2 linked regions of the Neodiprion lecontei genome follow. The protein of the gene in region 2 interacts with the protein of the main gene of each other region in a biochemical or structural test. Links are inferred from orthologs where the notes say so. Each region holds a gene or a part of one and is shown on either strand. Other genes may lie near its edges.

Evidence for each region. The genes of interacting proteins can lie anywhere in the genome.
Region 1: the proteins of mitogen-activated protein kinase kinase kinase 4 (region 2) and dual specificity mitogen-activated protein kinase kinase 4 form a complex in vitro, tested with the Homo sapiens proteins (2 studies listed by BioGRID, with this or other methods). The link is inferred for Neodiprion lecontei from reciprocal best matches to the Homo sapiens genes MAP3K4 and MAP2K4.

The regions. Positions count from the first base shown.
Region 1 is NC_060264.1:28,643,423-28,650,550, reverse strand, and holds dual specificity mitogen-activated protein kinase kinase 4, read left to right. Parts: upstream 1-1,967; 5' UTR 1,968-2,395; coding exon 2,396-2,438; intron 2,439-2,929; exon of another isoform or gene 2,930-2,944; coding exon of another isoform or gene 2,945-2,954; intron 2,955-3,112; coding exon 3,113-3,181; intron 3,182-3,621; coding exon 3,622-3,733; intron 3,734-4,076; coding exon 4,077-4,169; intron 4,170-4,238; coding exon 4,239-4,446; intron 4,447-4,739; coding exon 4,740-4,859; intron 4,860-5,084; coding exon 5,085-5,384; intron 5,385-5,599; coding exon 5,600-5,826; intron 5,827-5,942; coding exon 5,943-6,108; 3' UTR 6,109-6,605; downstream 6,606-7,128. Other genes in the region: 28S ribosomal protein S7, mitochondrial, read right to left, coding at 1-29, 321-509, 1,266-1,339. UniProt on the Homo sapiens protein: Dual specificity protein kinase which acts as an essential component of the MAP kinase signal transduction pathway. Essential component of the stress-activated protein kinase/c-Jun N-terminal kinase (SAP/JNK) signaling pathway.
Region 2 is NC_060262.1:27,712,382-27,717,261, forward strand, and holds the start of mitogen-activated protein kinase kinase kinase 4, read right to left. Parts: upstream 3,029-4,880; 5' UTR 715-3,028; coding exon 632-714; intron 10-631; exon of another isoform or gene 1-9. UniProt on the Homo sapiens protein: Component of a protein kinase signal transduction cascade. Activates the CSBP2, P38 and JNK MAPK pathways, but not the ERK pathway. Specifically phosphorylates and activates MAP2K4 and MAP2K6.

The DNA.
Region 1 (7,128 bases), on a different chromosome or scaffold from region 2:
CCTTTTTCATAATGTAGTTGGTAAATTGTCTGCATAAAATGAAGGCATGTTTAAACTATAATTATGCAGAGGCCTTTTTATCTCTTCGGTACATATAAATTCATAGATAATTTATACTACCAAAATTAGAAAGAAAAAATTGCGATCATGATTATTTTAAAAAATCATTCATTTTTCGGAGTTGTCCACAAGTTTTTTTTTTACTGTCAATTCTATCGAGACACAGAATTTCAATAGACTGCCTTATTTGCATTCATATAAACATTGTGAATTTTTTCAACTCTTATATTGATGAGATGGATAAAAAATTAACACACAACCTTAGAAACTCATCATGGAAAACTGAACTTGTCTCATTGTTTCTAGCTGCTTTAATCGGCGCATGTGCTAGGTGTTCGGCCTCTTCAGTTCCTTTGAGAGCAGCTTGCTGCTCCTTCTTATAAACCGGTCTAACATAGTATGGCGGATAAACGCTGTAGTCATTTTTCTTGATGTTGATTTCGCTCCATCTATAATAAGTAAAAATGGTAAACTGGAGTTGGAAATATTTAAAAACATTTGAAGTGTATTAGAATTCTTTGAATAAAGTGAATCTAAAAAATGATATTTTTAATTCCTCATGTTCTCCAGCTTTTTAAAAACGTACACTTCATTTTTTTCTAAATAATGTTTTACAATCAGTTAAATTCATTGATACAAAACGACAAAATTTGATTTGCATTCCGATAATACCACACGATCAAAAAAATAATAGAATGCGCTTGATAACTGGTCCTTGAATGTTATAAGACATCGAAGAATATTTATGAAAAAGATTTTCAATTCCCATTTCAAGAACAAGACTGCTCCTTCTAAGCCAGCATTAAAGTTCTAATATTTATTTGAATAATGTGAAGCCAAGTCTGAAAATCAAAATTTTGTAAAATACCTTAAACCTCCAGTACGTTTGAAAAAGAGAAATATGAGGATAAAACTGAACTGCTTTTTTTTATTTCCAAAAAGTTTAACAGATTTGTGTGCTAACTTTGGTTACTAGCTTCAGCTTCATATATCGAGGAGAATTTCTTTCGTCAACATTGAATTACAACTCTTCAAAATAAATATCAAACTTTTTTCTCACATCCCGGTGCTTTTGAGGTTATGCGATTAATGACAAGAATGAAGATGATTCTGTAGACTTATAAGACTTATAGTAAAAATGGACATGGAAAAAATCCATAGAATATATACAACCGAAAAATTATACCCAAATTGACAAGACGCACCTGTTTATTGATAATAAAGACCGAACGGTAGCAGCCGCGAATTGTCTGCTGTGAAACATTTTAAGTGCGGCCATTTTCGTTGGCTTACTGTTGGTACACTTATTCACAATAATTCTGAAACTGCTAATCTTTTGGACAAGTTGGTTATATTGGTAATGCAGAATGAACCCGCAGCAACACCGCCGGTAAAGTGTAAACTGTCAACCTAGCTACCATAGCATATGATATATATTCGTCATGTTAGGTGTCCACAGCGCCTTGATAGTGGCCGGGAGCCAAAACTTTGAAAAGGGCTGAAACTCGATTCAAATTTGATTGAAACGTGAGATAAATAATTGACGTGTTCCAACATGGAAAATACTATTATTTATGAATTCAGCCTTACAATCCGGTAAAATACAATTACTTATTCGTATTTTACGAGATGCGTCCATAATTATAGTACGTCAATCATTTATTTTACGATTCAATCGAATTTGAATCAAAGTATTAGCCCTTTTCAAAGTTTTGTGTCGCGGCCACCTAACATGACATAATGACAAATTCTGTTTTCCAGCCTCTCTAGATTGCCAACGTAACAGACTTGTCCGAAAAATTAGCCATCTCGGAATTACTGTGGGCAAGTGTACGGGGTGTCTCAGCCAATGGGAGGCCAACTGGTGTTTGATCGTACGATTGGTATGAACCAGCACAACTTACGGTATAGAAAAGTAAGTAGTAGTGGTTTCGAGGAACCAGCCTGGGAGCAATCGCGTTGACGAGAAAAAGAAGGAAGAAAAGAAAGGAGGAAAACAGAGGAGTGAAATGAAAATAAACGATACGTGTTAACAAATAAAACGTTGAAATCGTTATTCGTTGATAAAATAGATAGTGGTAGAGAGGGAGTGAGAGAGAGAGGAAAAAAAACGACACGTTAAATAACCCCCCAAATGATTCGTACATTGAAAACAACGTTCGCCGTTAGATTGATAAGTTCGTGTGAAAAGGTCTCCTAAACCCTTTGTATCGAAGGAGAGCCTTGACAAGTGGTGGTGTTGGATTAATTTCGTATCTGTGTTTATATCGAAGATACGGCGGAGAAACGAATTTTCCGCACCCAAACGGGACGTTAAAAACACCACATTATCAAAATGGCAGAGAATCAAGGAAACTCTTCGCATCAAATAAACCAAGGTTCGTCCTTCCTTCGCTCGTTCATTGACTCGTTATACGTGTTGCCCATCGCTTTCTTCATCTTCACCGCATCTATTACCACGGAAAATTGTCTTCCAAATCCGTTCTCTACTCGTTCTATGCCCCGTCCTCGTGTCGTTGCAAATGCAGGTAGTCGTCAGTCACATCGTTAGTCGTCTGTTTCGACTAACCCGTAACAATCGGTCTAACCGATATTTCATTCAACCCAGTTGTTATTTATCGTCTGCAGAAACGTCGCTTGCTCGTTAACCGCCTTCGTTTGCATGTTTTATACGATTTACGACGAATCTACCTACGTTGTTGCCTACGGATTGTCTTATCAGCGGGATCCGCGATCCCCAACAAACATGCACCTATCCCCTGCCTTCTTACCTCTCTTTCTCGCATCCGTCTGTCTTTGACGCGTTTTGACATTTCCCCGCAATCGAAAAAGTAGCGTATTAATGAACACGCACATTTTATAATTCAACTTTGTGACGTCTTTAATGATATACGGTAATAGTCAGTGTTGTTGTTATTATCGTCGTTAGTTTAACATAGACAAATGTCTGCGGTTAGCAACGTTAACCACACTGAGTTCTACCTCAGACATAACGTCCGTGAATAATTTTTATTAACAACAATTGTTTTCTTAAGTCTATCTAACATTTCAGGAACCGGCAGAAACTTCTTTCCACGTTTGGATTTTCTGTCCAATAGCGATATTCAGAATGAAGTGTCAGGTACCTGATTAGATTTCACTCCATCAATAATTAATTCAGCTGATGGATCAATGGATCAAGTACCTGATTTATCCATAACAAGAGATGAGAGGAAAATTGAAAAAATGTAGCAAGTTATTGCGATGTAAAATTTAATACTCGAATGTGGTGTGAATGTGGTGGATCAGTAACGGCATATGACAATATATTTTGAAATCTCCCTACTTACGTACAAGACTTTCATCATTTGATGTTAATTGAAGGAGTGCGTTTCTCAGTTTTAGGATTTTTAAAATCTTTATCTTATCTTTGGCATTCTTTGTGTTAATAACTGGCAGAGTTTGTATTCGTGTCTCTTATCAACTTGGGTTCTTGTTTCATTCATCCTTTGAATTGATTTGTTATTGTCATTAAGCATATTTTCGCATTACCTTAATTTATTTGTTTGTTGAATTCAACAGAGAAAAGACAGGCGTTGAAGATGAATCTGGGATCTGGTAGCCTAACCTTTTCAAATTCCACAAACTCGACCCACTCCAATTCCACCAGTATGTCATCATGCCCACCATTGCCGTAAGTAAACAACGGTCTCACAAAACAATAACACTTTTTCCTTCTTCAATTTAATGTGGAATAATGTGTAAAAATATTCCTTACCAACTCCAAGAGCTGTTCTTCCGAATCATATTCTGCCAAGCAAATTGTATATTCTAAATAAATATTAGTACAATCGTGTATGGAGAGAATAAATTTTTGGTTCGGGAACATTTACAAGGAATTTCGAGGTATTAGGTTTAACGAACGTAGTAATGTATAAGTACCCCAATTTTACGATCAACCGGATTTCCACCAACAACGAAATTCTTTAGAAAGGCATGAGAAACTGAGTTCTAAATGACATTACTATGAATAATAGGTCGTCTCGCCCTAGCTTGCCCTTACCTCTGCCAAAGTTGCCGATTAGGCCTCGGCCAGCGGCGCAACAAGAATTTCTCCCAGATAAAGCAAGGTAATAAGCTTGAATGCGAGATGATTATATATTATACTGAATTAAGTAACGACGATGTTCATACTGCAGTAATTCTGTGCATATGAGGTATTATTCCAGGGAGAAATTACGGATGTGTCAATCAATGCAGAGCACGGGAAAACTTCAGTTATCTCCTGACACGATATATGATTTTACCAGCGAGGATTTACAAGACTTGGGAGAGATCGGGCGCGGAGGATTTGGCACTGTAAATAAGATGATACATAGGATAAGCAATACCGTCATGGCTGTGAAGGTGAGAAGAATAATTTCCCTTTGACCAGAGGTTTCGTAATTATGTAAAAACAATTTTCGTCACGAATCATAATTAATTAAATAATAAAAGTATTTCTACAAAAATTTTCGTAAATACTCTTCAACGTAGAACATTCGAGTCTTATTAATGATGATATATATTTATGTGTTCCACCATAACTTACCTTGATTTTCAATGAAAAATCCTTTCCAATAATAGTTCAGACCAAAACATATTGCGCAAACTCATCACGATTCCTTATGAATGCAACTTTTTTATTTTCCATTATATAGAGGATTCGCTCAACAGTGGATGAAAGAGAACAGAAACAACTTTTAATGGATTTGGAAGTTGTTATGAAATCCAACGAGTGTCCCTGCATCGTGCAATTTTATGGAGCTTTATTTAAAGAGGTGAATAATTTTTCGTTTCACATATTCACATGTAGAATTTTTGCTAATAGAAAATTTCGCAACCATCAAGTAGAAAAAAAACGGTATTCTAGCCCTTCATCCAACATTTTGAGTTGGTCGAGTTGTATAATACCTGCATCTTGAAATTATATCTTTGACCTCATTTTGTTGTAACATTTGTAACCAAAGTGATGCTACAACGGTTCCTCTTCTTTTCTTGCACAGGGAGACTGTTGGATTTGTATGGAACTGATGGACACGTCTTTAGACAAATTCTACAAATTTATATATGAGAGATTAAACGAGAGGATACCTGAAAGTATACTGGGAAAAATCACAGTAGCTACAGTTAAGGCATTAAATTATCTTAAGGAGAAGCTCAAAATTATTCACCGTGATGTTAAGCCAAGCAACATACTTCTCGACCGTCGCGGTAACATCAAGCTGTGCGATTTTGGCATTTCTGGACAACTGGTCGATTCAATTGCCCGAACACGAGACGCCGGATGCAGGCCTTATATGGCTGTGAGTAATAACTAAAGAAATACTAACTTTGATCCAAGTACAAATGTAAGTTCAAAGCATTTTCGCAAACGATCGATTTTACCGTAATTGTAATCAGCAGAGATATTAATCTAAAATCAATGGAAGTACTAGACTAAAAAAAGTGTGAAATTTCATTGAGTTTATTATCTACTTTTTTCAATTTTGCCACGTAATGAGAAAGAAAAATTTTACAGCCCGAAAGGATAGATCCCCAACGAGCAAGAGGATATGACGTCAGGAGTGACGTATGGTCTTTGGGCATAACGCTGATGGAAGTAGCGACTGGGTATTTTCCATATCCAAAATGGAATTCGGTATTCGAACAACTATATCAGGTGGTACAAGGAGACCCGCCGCGTTTGTCACCCAACGAGAATGGAAATCGTTTCACAATGGATTTTGTCAATTTCGTAAACACATGGTAATGACTGAAACGCGAGTTCTTCAATCGAATTAAGAATTAGCTGAATCTTTGCGATCATGAAGGATGTTGGGTTGGAGATAGATTCTAAATTGTTTTACCGTTTTTGCTTGCAGTTTGATCAAGGAAGAGACGCAGCGTCCAAAATACAACAAACTTTTGGAACATCCGTTCATAAGGAAAGGTGAAGAAGCGAAAATAGACGTGGCCGCGTACGTCAGCGGAGTGTTGGACAGTATGGCTAACAATGGAGTGACGCCGTTCACCACAAATCAGCCTTAAGAAAAAAAAATTGTATGAAAAGAAATGCATTCCATGGACCTCCTCCGTAAAAGTAACGTAGAAGATGTACTATGTTCCCCTTGGAATATAATTTTATTACGGAAAGGCCCCTCCTGATAAAGGACTTTTGAAACAAGGATACTCCGTAGCGAGTAGGAGGTAATGAACGACATTCAATTGTATCTAATATGTAGAGAAAGAAAAAAAAAGAGGAAAACAATCGCGGAGATAATTCATATAATAGAAAATAATTTCCTACGAATCTTGAGAGAAACAAACAGAAAAATGAACTGTCGCAAAACACAGCTGTGGCGTACCTCTTACATAAAGTAAAAATAAACATATATTAGATATCATCTCCAGAACGATCCGTAGTTCTTGTAATATTACGAATTTCAATCACCGAAAAAGAAGACGAGAAAAACGTAAAAAAAAACGGAGAGTAAAAACTAAATAGTAAAAAAAAAAGAAATACACGAAAAGAAAATTGTTGTGAATTGTATATATTGTTTAATGTTTTAATTCCATGTTTTATATATGCATATGACTTGGAAATAGTTCGCCAAAACAGTACAAAGTACCTAATTGCTCGTTCTGGCGATTTTATTAGGAACAAGCTTATACCAACGTTAAAATACTGTACTGTAAGAATAATAAATAATGAATGATGATAATAATAATAATTGATTCAGAACTACACACGAGTTGAATAATTACATGGATAATACATTCCTAAATTTCGAAAAGTACTATCACCTTCACACGTCACGCACTAGAAACTGGAATATTTCTATATTAAATATTAGCGAACTAAGTACCAGTTTTCGAACACGAACTTGTTTTTAATTTCAGTTTCTAACCTAAAACACCATCCACACAATCGGATTTTGATTTTTAAATGAAACATTAAAATCCTATATGAGCTTTCTAAACATTTCAAAAATGTACCTGCAAACCACAGATATTTATCGCTAGGTTTTTGTTTTCAAAAATCAAATCGATACTTCTCATTTACTGTGT
Region 2 (4,880 bases):
AACGAAACAGACTACAAGAATTTTTGCTACAAGTTCAGCAAAATAAAATTTCCAATTTTTTCAGTCATATGTCCAAAACTTGTTTCAGTCTATAGGCTTAAAACTCGTAAATTAAAACATTTTATATCAAATCAAAACACTCAATTCCTGTTATTTTAATCTTGAAAAATCCGACGATACAACATAGATATTCACATATCAACACGGTGTAAAAATATAAAACAGCATTATCATTACCCGCCGACTTGCGACGCTGTTACACCATAGTTCAATTGTTTGTTTGAACTTGGCGTACTTTTCAAGTGACAATCGTACTTGAAACGTACCGTGTAAACATAAGCACACAAGTAAAGTGTAGTTTGAATATTTGGCGGAGTTTATCCGTCAAAAAATACTTCGAGAGATGAATTTACTGCAAGTACTGTTAGGTTAGGCGACATCAGCTGAATACGAAGGTAGATGATAAGCTAAGCGCGACGTACTCAGCGCAAGAGGCTAGTTGACCATCAAGTATGCTGCTAAGTAAACACAGAAATTCTCGATGTGTGAATTGCTACATTTTTCCAGTTCTATTTATAATGAAGGTCTAATAGTCGCGTGAATTATTACTCGGCTGTTTGACGGAACCCACCTGTCGTCAGAATCATCCCAGTCTAAACTCTCGGCGCCTGTTGTACCGTCGAAACACATCATTAATCCCTCTTCAAACGACATCTTTTTGCCACTTTTTCCCACGTCAACGACAGACGAAATAAACTCGAACGCCGACTGTCTATCGTCTGACCGCTTTTGTTCCCCTACTTACTCCCCAAGAGCGATGGAGTCGACCGCCCGACTATGCTGCATTCTCGCACGCAAAGTAAACACACTGCGACACCGACATATTCTCTTCGGCACTGAAAATTCCGACTTCGATGATGAGTGGCGACAATTACCCGAGTCGCTACCGCGAAATCAAGACTCGGTTCTTGGATCAACGTACGGAACAAACACTGCGCAAAATGGGTTTCTATTATTCCGTTGAACAGAACTTGTCGGATATGAATTGTGCGGATTTTCCCCAAGGCATTGTAATTTAACGACGAATTTCATGCTATTTGTTGAAACGAAGGATACGTGTTTGTCACGTATACATATGCATAATTGTTTCCACGTACGAAAATAAAAGATGGTATAAGACGATCTCTGAATCCTATCTAGTGGCAAGTGGACGCAATGTAGCCAAAATATGCTGCGAAGTACGTTTTGTTAATTAGTGGAAATATCATATATACAGTAAATACATAAATAAAACAATAATTAAAATGGAGTTATTGAGTCATCATATCCTTTAAACTCGATGGAAGGAAATTCTTGAAAAAACCTCAAACGGGTTGTAGATTTTGTAATGAACGACATGCGAAAGCTCTGACAAAAGTGTTGGGTAAATTAATAAAATTAATGACTCATGCGCCTCGACAACATTCGCGGATCATACAGTTCAAAAGTCAGGGGTTTCAATTCGCTCGAACGTCAAGGCGTAAAAGCGATGCCAAATGATTCCAGAAACTTTCAACCTGATTTACTGTTAGTCTGATTTTACGAGATTTATGACCCAACCGCCCCACCAATTATTTACAATAAAGTTGTAAAATGCAGTTTTAAATATTTTCTACCGATCGTGCACAAAGTTCAATTTCACAGCGGAAACATAGCGAAACTTCCCTGGTGAAAATTATTACTACTACGATTTTTTTGGCAGGAATTGGGCCATTCCGTATTATTTCGTACAAAATTGTAAATATGCATAGTTTTTCGTGAAAAATTGTCAATTTTCTTTAGAAATCGTGGTGGCGTATCGATTTTTTACTGAAAAAATTCAAATTTTCACAAAAATCTACAAATTTTTATGAGAAAGTATGCTTATACACAATTTTGTACGCAATGTCCCAACTTTCCACAAAAATTTGTAGAAAATCGTAAAAATCATTATCACCAGGGATATGAAAAAAGAATCATTTATGCTTTTGCAACGACTCTATAGGGAAAGATCAGTATAGAAATTTCGTTTTTCCCGCAAGTTACGGTTTACCGCATGACCGACGGTTTCAAGTTACAAAATAGCAATAAAATTACGCAGTTCCGGGTTTAGAGGGGGGCAACCAGGGCCGACACAATTTTTGGTAAAATTTCCTAGCAAATGGTATGTAAAATTACTCTTCTGACAAAAAAAAAAATTTAGAGCTACATTCCCAAACATTGAAATTACATTGAGAATGTATCTTGTGTTGATGGTGTCGAACTGCACTGGAGAGCGCTCATTTTCCAAAATGAAAATTATAAAAAGTAGGTTACGAACTACTATGAGACAAAGCCGTTTGTCAAAGTTATCCGTACTCAGCATTGAAAGTGATTTTCTCCGGGATTTTACCGATATCATTGATGACTTTGCGTCGAAAAAAGCTCGCAAAATTCCATTCGCCTAACGATGTAATTTAATGTGGCTCATTTTTTGTATTTTACAATATCGACATGTGTTAGTTGACATCATTGCATATGTCTCACAATAAATTATTGCTACACTATAAAAATGAAATTTTCCCATCTTGTTTGAAAAATAATTAGGGGCCTCCCACTTCTTTGTTGCCCTAGGGTTTCCACAACTATAAATCCGGCACTGACATTACGAATGAGATTATTAAATTCGACCTTATAATTTTACATAATTTCGAATCATTTAGAATGATTTCAGATCACGATTTCAAAGGCGTTTAATAACTGTTTTCCTGATTTCAAATTACTGCAAATCTGTTATAAACACATTTGCCGTACCTGAGATTTCCGAAGATGATTGAGTATTGTCACCAAGTTATCTATATTTCGTTCATAAATTGATGGGTAATTAAATGCTAATATCTGTCACTCAAAAGTCTTTTAGAAATATCCGTGTAACTTATTTCGTTAACGGATATTTACGTATTTAGGAATATCCATACACTTATAGAGGATTGACTGCGCGATCTGTTCACCACTGTTCACCGAGCTGAAGCCGTAATTAGACAGAGAGAGAGCTCAGCTGGAACCGGATCTCTCTGTTGCATGATAGAAAGATCGGCGGGGGGGGGGGGGGGGAGGGAGGTACATGCGTACGAATTTATACCCTCCCCCCCGCCAAGTTTCGCAATCAGATTAGAGTGAGATATCCGGCTCCAGCTATTGCTATCTCTTTCTAATTACGAATTCAGCTCACAATCAGTGAACAGACCGCGCAGACTATCGGTATAAGTCTATGGGAGTATCTAACCTGGTCAATGATAATCACTTAGGTGATGGTTATTCAGCAAGTCTGAAGTACACAATTTTAAAAGCTTGTAAAGAACAGAGATAATATGTTACGCGTATAGGTGTAGGAAATATCGCGTAAGAGAAACAAAAATTTCTTTTTTTCTGTAAGATACGAATTTTATTTAAACAATCTCTATTTTTTTTTTTTTTTTTCTTTTAGCAAGTACAGTACTTTCCATATATCCTTGCACCAACGAATTCTATCTATCGATATACAATACCCATGTATATGTATATCATATTCAATGATTTACACAAAATTTCACATTTTCATATTTTAATACTGCTGGAAACCATTGCCTGGTAGAAAAAAAAAAGGAAAAAAAAATAATCAAACAAACTCAGTAAACAAAGATTGTACAGTTATTTTTCCATAGATAAAATATCTGTTATTTATAATAATTATAGACTGAACGTCGCGTCGGTGCAATGCTCGCACGTGAAGTACTATCGTATTGTTAATTCTCGTTTTTTTCTTTTTTCTTTACATTTTCATGTTTTTTTTTTAGTGTAAAAATTGTATAACTCAGTGTTCTAGCACCTTGATTCATAATCAACGCAGTAAGAACAAAGACAAACTTTTTCTGTAAAGGGATAATAATTACTGAATATGTACCTAGATGTATTATTGTTTCTACAGAGCCCTTGATTAGATTAAGCAGATCATTGCTAAGGGGGATCGGGAGACCTATCGCTGCGTTTAAAAAATTAATAACAATATAAAAGGTATGGTTCTTCTCTTGCGTTTGCATAAAGGGTATGTAAATGGGGTATTAACACTTCTCATCAGCCTTTCGAATAATTTAGCTTACGAGCATAAGAAACTCTACCTTATTACACTAAAAATGTTTCTTTTTTTTTTTGTATATCGAATTTGAAACTTTCATTCAGCTTCTATAGCTGTGTAAATGTTCGTTATAATTTCGTGAATAAAGCATACTTAGAAATACATTGTACTTCATCTAAATGAGAAATTGGGGGGCTCGACGGCCTCTTTTCACTGAAATATGTTAAAATTCAACATTTTTTTTTCGCTCGTAAGGTGTTCATAGGACCTTGTGGATGAGAGCAGCGCAAAGACTTATATATGGTTATAGTCGACTAAAATACAATAACACGTAAAACTTTTGTGTTTTCTATATTTAGCTAAAACCATAAAGTTGAGAAAACATTTAAAACTCCGCACAGAACTAATTCGGGTCTTTCAGGATTGATACGCTTTTTCGAATCCAGGATTCCCCCAAGTACCCTGGTTTCTAGGTTTTCCCTGTGCGTATCGGCCCTGGGCTGTGTGCATCGAAAATAATTTCCAATTCTTATATGTGTATAAAGTAGAGAAATCTACAATAATTAGTTCCAATTTTTCATTAGCGTTACCAAAAGACAATTGCGATCGTTACATGCACCTGAACTTTATTGAGTTCGTAATATATAGAAATACCTTAGCGTAGGTGTGGTCATATATTTTTTTTGGTTTTCAACATATGTGTTTGCTTCAATTTTTGTTCAATTGCAAGAAAAATAGAAACTTATTATTTTTATAATTATCTGCTTTA